Cricetulus griseus: one gene and its partner. The protein of the gene in region 1 interacts with the protein of each later gene in a pairwise test. Links are inferred from orthologs where the notes say so. Each region holds a gene or a part of one and is shown on either strand. Other genes may lie near its edges.

Region 1 (3,561 bases):
CCTCCAACCCTATTCTCAGAGGAAAACAGAGGTTGCAAGGACGTGACATAACAAATCTGACTCTAAATATGAACTCTAATTTGCTAGGCAACTTTGAGCACATCCTCTATTCTCTAAGGATTTCAGTTTAGCTACTTTAATATTTATCACTATCATTATTTTATATTATTCATATTGGCGTTTTGCCTGCATCAATGTCTGTGCCCTCTGAAACCAGAAGAGGGCTTAGGATCAATCCTTGAGCTGCAATTATTAACCATCGTGTAGGTGCAAAGGGTCGGAATCTGGGTCCTCTGCAAGAGCAGCAAATGCCCTTACCCACTGAGGCAATTCTCCAGCCCAGCTTAATTTTGTTAAAAAAGGAAAGTGGGCTAACAACAATGTTCAGGGTCCTTACGTTACATTTTATGACTAAAGCCAATCTACTTCCAGCAGCCCTTTCTCTGATGCCCTATCTTGCTATGATGCCATCAGTCATGCTCTTATGTACCCATCATATTCTGAGTAGCAATCAACACACACCTTACTGGACACTTCAGCTGTACAGATGAGACTGCCGCAGAGACGACCTATGTAATCTGTTCAAAGGTAAGAAACTTTGGGAAGGAGTAAACATAACTGTCCTTTTCAGCAAAATATGATCAAATGACATCCATAGGCTTCAAAGAATGGAAACAAGTTCTATGCTAGTTTTAACTCCATAAAGAGAATTCACCTGCTGGGAAAGGATGGTTACAGCTTCTTTGTGCTTTGTGTCCCGCAGGTTAACTCCATTCACTGCCAGAATAGCATCTCCAACGTGTAGCCCTCCACATCGATCAGCGGGCTGTCCTGGATGGATCTCGGAGATGAGAATGGGAACACCGTGTTCCTTCCCACCCTAACAGTAACAATACCAAAGGCAGTTAGTTAGTTTATATTTTATTAAATGGCTGCAGATCATCTTCAAGAAGACATTTTCTTAAAAACTCATTTCAATAGGCAGAAGGTCTCTGTAAACACTGGGTGAAAGTTTACTTGCTACCAAAGAAGCACCCCCGAGTACAATGACTAAAAACATTCCATTTTCTGAAATCACTATAGACCCCCAAACTAAAATACCCAAACAAACAATAACCTCATTTCTTAAACATTAAGAACAAATTATATACTAGTAAACGACAGTATTTTGTGTCATCTTGTGGGTTCTTCCATAGTGCTTTTAGCAAATCTCAATTGTTATGTACTGTGGTGGTTTGAATAAGAATGGCTCTCATAGGCTCATATATTTGAATACTTAGTCACCATGGAGTAGAATTGTTTAAACATATTGGAAGGATTATGAGGTGTGGCTTTGTTGAAGTAGGTGTGGCCTTTCTGAAGGAAGTACATCATCACTGGGGATGGGCTTTGAGATTTCAGAAGCCCAAGCCAGGCCTGTGAATCAGGACACAGTTCTCAGGTACTGCTCTAGTGCTATGTATGCTGCCATGTTCCCCCACATGATAATAACGCACTAATCCTCTGAAACTGTAAACAAGCCCCAAATAAATGTTTTCTTTTATAAGAGTTGCCTGGGTATGGTGTCTCTTCACGGCAACTGAACACTAAGACATGTATGATAAGATCAATTTTAGGTATAACCAAGATAATTGTTTTGTTTTGTTTTGTTTTGTTTTTTGAAGACAGGGTCTCTCTATGCAGCTCGGAACTTGGTATGTAGACCAGGCTGGCCTTCAACCTAGCTCTGCCTGACAAGTGCTGGGATAAAAGGCATGTGCCACCATGTACAGCTTTAACCAAGGTAGTTTTAAAATTGTGTGATAAATCCTCAATTTCAGAAATGTAAAAATATGTAATGTTGAGTTGAAGGATTATAGCAATTGTTAATTGGTCTCACTCTATGTAGCTTGTATAATTCTATGTTATTCTTACTTTAAAAATTTATCTTATGTATATTGGTATTTTGTCTCCATGCATGTCTTTATAACATGGTCATACCAGGTGCCTGAGGAGGTCAGAAGAGGGTATCAGATCCCCTGGAACTGGAGTTACAGACAGTTAATGAGCTGCCATGTAAGTGCTGGGAATTGAACCTGGGCCCTTTCAAAGAGCAGCCAGAGTGTGTAACCACTGACCCATTTCTCCAAGCCCAAGGGCGTTGCATTTTGAGCCACTTAACTCAGAAAGGACAGCCTGGCTGCCCACAGGCCCCAAGGACACCACAGAGACATGGTACAGACCATGCTTTCAGTTGTACTGAAGATGTCAGCACCTAAGTTATAACAAGTTTTATACACAAAAAGGTTTTATGCGAAAGTGCCGCTGCCTAAGTCTTGAAAGATTTGGTTGTTTTGAGCTATATCCACAACACTTTGTTTTCCAGATGATGCCTGGTTCTCCCAGCCCTGCCCACAGGGAACCCGGAAGCACTACTTCTTACTGTAATTGAAATGCCTAGGCCTTCATGATCTTCCTTAAGGAGGAGAACTTTTCGAATTGGACCAACTCCCTGGCTTTTCTTCAACGAGTCTTGATCCTTGTTGCAGAGAAAAAAGAAAAAAAAATTGTAGTATTTAAATAACAAACCAAGTAGAACTCATGTTACATAACTTGCTTTTAGAAACCATTATTAATCTTCTGGTAGAGATAAACAGCATAGCAATTAAAAAGATGAAAATGCTGTTCAGTAGGTACAGCAAATTTTAACATCATTTTTTTCCATTTTTTGGAAATACATATTTGTTTGGATTATAAGACATTATAAAATTACCAGGAATCAAACAATAAACAAGCCTCTCTAAGGAATAAAGTAGTAACCATGTATCTTCACTAGAAAGTATCTTGTCTTAATACCCTATATAAATGATAACTGAGTTTTAGAATTGAGATTTTCATTTCAACTTGAACCACTAATTACTTTTTTATTCTGTAGTGCTCTAGAACCTACCTGTTAAAAACAGTTCCTTTAGTTGCTCTTTTTTTGACCTCCCTTGCCTTGTTTTTGGTTCAAACCTAAGGCCTTACTGCACACTAAGCAAACACTTTGCACTGGCACGCTTGGCTACCTCTCGTATCTCTCATCCTTTTCTCTCTACTAAACTCCTTTTCAACTCAGCAGCTCAATAATTCTAACCATCTTCCACTTTCAAGATACTGACAAATTCCCAAACCAAACAAAAGGAGCCCAACAATACCCCTTCCACCCAGCCATCTTTCTGTCACTATCTTCTACCCTCTACACAGACTAAGTTCCTGGCCTCCCACTTTACTTTGGTCACTATGATTAAGACCATTTGCTAGCCTGCAATTTTCTTTATGTTCACTTGTGAAAATACTACTGAATCCAATGTACACTCTTAGTCGCTACCCTACCTAGCAGAAAGTTGACATGGGGTAAATAAATATCCACTTTGAAACTCCCTCTTTTCCTTGGTTTCTCTTACTCTCCCAGGTAACCTACATCTGACTGGTCAGGCTTCTTTCTTTGTGACCCACTCTCTTCCACCACACTAACTTTCCATCCTTGGCCTCCTATTCCTGTTTAATTTATAGATGTTTTCCCTGGCCACTTATTTCCAT
Region 2 (4,292 bases), on another chromosome or scaffold:
GGAATTACAGACAGTTGTTAGCTGCCATACGGGTGCTGGGAATTGGTCCTTGGTTAAGAGCAGTCAGTGCTTTTAAGCCCTGAGCCACTTGGCACCAGTCACTCCTCTCTTAGCCCCATGGCATTGTTGATTAGGTTTCAGCTTTTGACTGTTGGCGGGCACACTCTGACCACAGCACCCCTATCACTAATACACTGGACAGAGACTCTACATATGTAGGATGGGGACAGTTTTAGGGAGAACCCTCATTTGGGGACTGGGAATGCCTTGGCCAGAGGCTGACAAGCAAGAGGGAGGACTCTGGCTTCCTTCCTTTCAGGATGTTTCCATGGGCCCTTCCCATTGCAGGACCTTTGGTTGAAAATAGCCAAACAGGAAGCTGAGACCAAAGCTAGGCTAGAGATCTGACTCCAGTGTTCAGTTCCCAGGATGCTGCTCATCACCAGGTAAACCCTTTCTTTATCCTGTCAGTAGAGGGCGTGAGCCCCAGCCTAGTGTGCACCTTCCCTTCCCTAATGTCCATAGAAGGCTGAAGGAGACCCTTGGGAAGCAGACCATTCAAACGGAGGGAAGGTGCTCTTCTAACCTAGCCCAGGCTGCATGCAGAGAGCGAGACACGGAGAGCCTCAAAATGCATTCACTCTCAAGGACCCCTAGCAAACCCTCATGTTAGGCGTCATTAATTAGGTTTTACCTGTGAGCATCAGGAGACTCAGGGAAAGGGACTGTCTTAGGCTGGTGACAGATACCCAGCTGGAACTTCTGAAGCTCCTATATCCCCACCCCACCCCAAGAAAGGTTGGAGATTCCCTTTCACCCCAACAGGGTCCTAATACTCGCTCTATCACAGAGGAGGCGATATCTCCTATTTTGGAGGGGGGCTGGGTCACCATCAGAGGTTCTGTGGTGGTCTTCAAGTCCTACACTCAGTCTGAGTGGGCTCTGCTTTCTTTAAGGGCCGGATCTTGGAAGATGATGAGAGGACACGTACTGCGCCTTAATCAGCGGCACCCGGTCCCCGCCCCCGCTGGCTTGCTCTCCAGCCTGTCGCGTCATCTGGAGGGTATGTGGACTTCCCACATGGGGCCACCAGAGGGCGCCGCAGACGGAGCAGGGGTCGGGAGCCGGGACTCCCAGCCAAGCCGGCAGCCTCGCGGGTCTACCGCTGAGGGTCAGGGAGTCGGGATTCCCGGGTGCCCGAATTCTAGGAGTGAGATGAACGTTCAGAGTGCGAGCGGTCCACCATTGGCCCCGTATCCTCCCTTCCTGGCCGTTGCCTTTTGAGGTCCACACAGAGAGGGCAGCCCGGGGACGCGTCTGGAGCAGGTGTCTGACCATGGACATCTAGGACCCGGGCTGAGAAGAGGGCAGCGGAGCGTGCGGGCACCCGCAAGGGTCGCAGGGGCCCCATTGCTGTAGCCACGCCCCTCAGAGACCCCGCCTCCATGCCCCGCCCGTCCCGCCCCCTCCCTGCCGGGGTGGGAGACCCGGGGGCCTCCACAGCCGTGAGTCCCGCCATGAATGTTGCCTCGCTCCTACTTCTGCTGCTCCTGGTGGGCCGCCGGCTCCAGGCTGCGGTTGTCACGGAGTCAACGCTGCCCACTGTGGTCCTTGCTATCCTGGCCCGCAATGCGGAACACTCTCTGCCCCACTACCTGGGCGCACTGGAGCGCCTGGACTACCCCCGGGCCAGGCTGGCCCTCTGGTGAGAGATCATGGGTGGGCACATCTGGGCATCACACCCCAGGATCCAGGACAGCCTCTGACCCGGAGGCTTCATCGCTCCTGTTCAGACACCACCGGGCAAGCTCCTCCCTCCCAGACATGCACTTAGGGCCTCAAGCCCTTCAGCAGGGTCCCTAACCCTCTAGGGGCAAGGGCAGACCTCTGAGGCCTTGGGTCAGCCCAAGGACACCCACTCCTCCTTCGGGCCTCCTAGTTTTCGGGCTCATCCCCGGCTTACTCTAGTTTAAGTTAGGCCTGTCCTTTCCTACCCAGCCCTTAGAGCTCACAGCGCATCTCAGTGGTCAGCTTGATTTGGAGTATAACAGGAGTAGAAAACTCTGGAATCCCCAGGGACCTAATGTAGCAAGGATCAGTCAGACTGGAGGTTTCTAGGGAGCAGATGGAGGGAACCCTCAGCTCCAGGCTGCATGCTGGGCAGGGGCATCAGGCTGAGTCCCCTCCTCAGTAGTACTGCCAGCCTCTCCCGGTAGAGGGGCTGGTAGGTTCCATCCCCAAGGTCTGTGGCCTGGGCTCCCAGGCTACAGCAGCCTGTCTATAAAAGTCTAAACAGGGAGGAGCCCAAGCTGAGGCTGGAGATAAACTGCTCCTCTCAGCACACCAAAGTTGGGCTTGGGGTGGAGCTGTGGCCTGGGGAGGCTGCCCACAGTCTCAACAGCTTGGGAATTAGTTCCCACCCTTGTAGGACTTGACACGTAGTTAGTCTTCACTTCTGAGGAATTGGCTTAAAGGGGCAGCATCGTCCGAAACCTGGCTCTTGGCTGAGATTCCCAGCTCTTTTATAAGAACCCCTTCCCCAGCAGAGAGAAAATTGTGCTCCATGGTAACAGGTCTGGCCTCCAGCACTTCTCAGTGTGCTCAGAGCATGGTATAGAGTCCCAGTTACAGTTCAGGATAGAGAAAGGCGGTGACTCTTTTGTCTGATTCAGAGATGGAAAGGGCCTGGCTTGTGGTGCCATGAAGACGGAAGAAAATGAGGGGCATAGCAGGTGCAATCCTTAAGGTCAAGTGCGTCTTTCACAGTGCACTCAGGCTGAGGATGTGGCTCGGTGGTCAAGGGCTTGCTTGGCATGTACAAGTCTCTAGGTCCAATCCCCCAGGACAATGCCCCAAATTAGAAGGGAGGATGTGAAGCACAGCACATCCTCCAGCACCTCCACTGTAGGAATACCTCTCCCCCATTGCTCTCAGGACAGACCAGACTTGAGGGTGTCCAAGGGCACTTCAAAGTCAAGTGCACCTTGGGGTTCCAGCCCCTCTGTGGCTGTGGTCTCTCAGTTTTTATATCATGTGCTCACAGGTGTGCCACAGATCACAACGTGGACAACACCACAGAGATGCTACAGGAGTGGCTGGCTGCTGTGGGCCGTGACTATGCAGCTGTGGTCTGGAAGCCCGAGGAGGAGGCCAGGTGTTAACCTGAGGGCAAGGGTGTTGGAAGAGATGGAGAACAGCTGTTACCCAGTGTCACAGCCCCCAGAGCAGGGCTGTGTCCACAGCCCTGCTGAGAAGGAGAGGTTCCTCCCTTAGAAGAACATCTAACTTCCTTCCCTCCTCAGGCCCTACCCAGATGAACAGAGTCCCAAACACTGGACCAAAGAAAGGCATCAGTTTTTAATGGAGCTGAAGCAGGAAGCTCTGACCTTTGCCAGGGCCTGGGGAGCCGACTACATCCTGGTAAGGAAGCCTGGTCTGGGATTACGTGGGAGGCATTGGTATTGGTCCCCAAAAGAAGTCTTGGTTATGACCAAACCACCAGGCTGCATCTTTTTAGATTGAGCTGAGACCCTGTATTGGCTCCTTGCATACTAGATACTAAGCCTGGATCCTAGGACAATTCTGAGGTTACATGTTGTGCCTAGATTCCTGAGCTTTTGTTTAGAGTATAAACTAAGCCTGGATCACAGGACTGGAGTGCAGAGTATGTTTTTTAAATATTTATTTATTTGGTTTTTCAAGACAAGGTTTCTCTGTGTAACCCTGGCTGTCCTGGAACTCATTCTGTGGCTGGTCTTCAGAGATCCACTTGCCTCCACCTCCCAAGTGCTGGGATTAAAGCTGTGTGCCACCACTACCCTGGGCTCATTTTTGTTTTATGAAAGTGGGCGTTTGGCCTGCAAGCATGTCTGTGCATCACATGCATGCAGTGCTCACAGAGGCCAGAAGAAGACCTCAGATCCCCTGGAAATGGAGCTACACTCAGTAATGAGCCACCATATGGTTGATGGGTTTCAAACTCAGGTCCTCTGGAAGATCCAGTAGTGCATCTAACCACTGAGCTATCTCTTCAGTGCCCTCAGTGTTATTCTTTTGTTTAAATTAGAAATAAAGAAGAAAAGAGGCGGATGAGACATAAGACTGAGAGACATATTAGACATATTAAGCAGTTTATTTTAGGCCTGGCAGAGTAAAGAGACTAAGAGAGAAGAGAAACAGGGGTAATGGCTGACCGCCATGGCCGGTCACCATAGAGAGGCAGAGAGAGTGTAGGTGGGGGAAGAGAAGAGCAGAGAGAAGAGTAGAGAGAGAATAAAGAGAGAGCATAAATG

Evidence for each region.
Region 2: the proteins of Gopc (region 1) and Cercam interact in a two-hybrid assay, tested with the Homo sapiens proteins (2 studies listed by BioGRID and IntAct). The two-hybrid records come from large-scale screens. The link is inferred for Cricetulus griseus from reciprocal best matches to the Homo sapiens genes GOPC and CERCAM.

What each region holds. Positions count from the first base shown.
Region 1 is NC_048595.1:256,530,866-256,534,426, reverse strand, and holds part of Gopc (Golgi-associated PDZ and coiled-coil motif-containing protein), read right to left. Parts: intron 2,519-3,561; coding exon 2,423-2,518; intron 881-2,422; coding exon 716-880; intron 1-715.
Region 2 is NC_048599.1:141,525,209-141,529,500, forward strand, and holds the start of Cercam (inactive glycosyltransferase 25 family member 3), read left to right. Parts: upstream 1-1,442; 5' UTR 1,443-1,445; coding exon 1,446-1,705; intron 1,706-3,043; coding exon 3,044-3,154; intron 3,155-3,302; coding exon 3,303-3,420; intron 3,421-4,292. UniProt on the Homo sapiens protein: Probable cell adhesion protein involved in leukocyte transmigration across the blood-brain barrier. Does not express any beta-galactosyltransferase activity in vitro.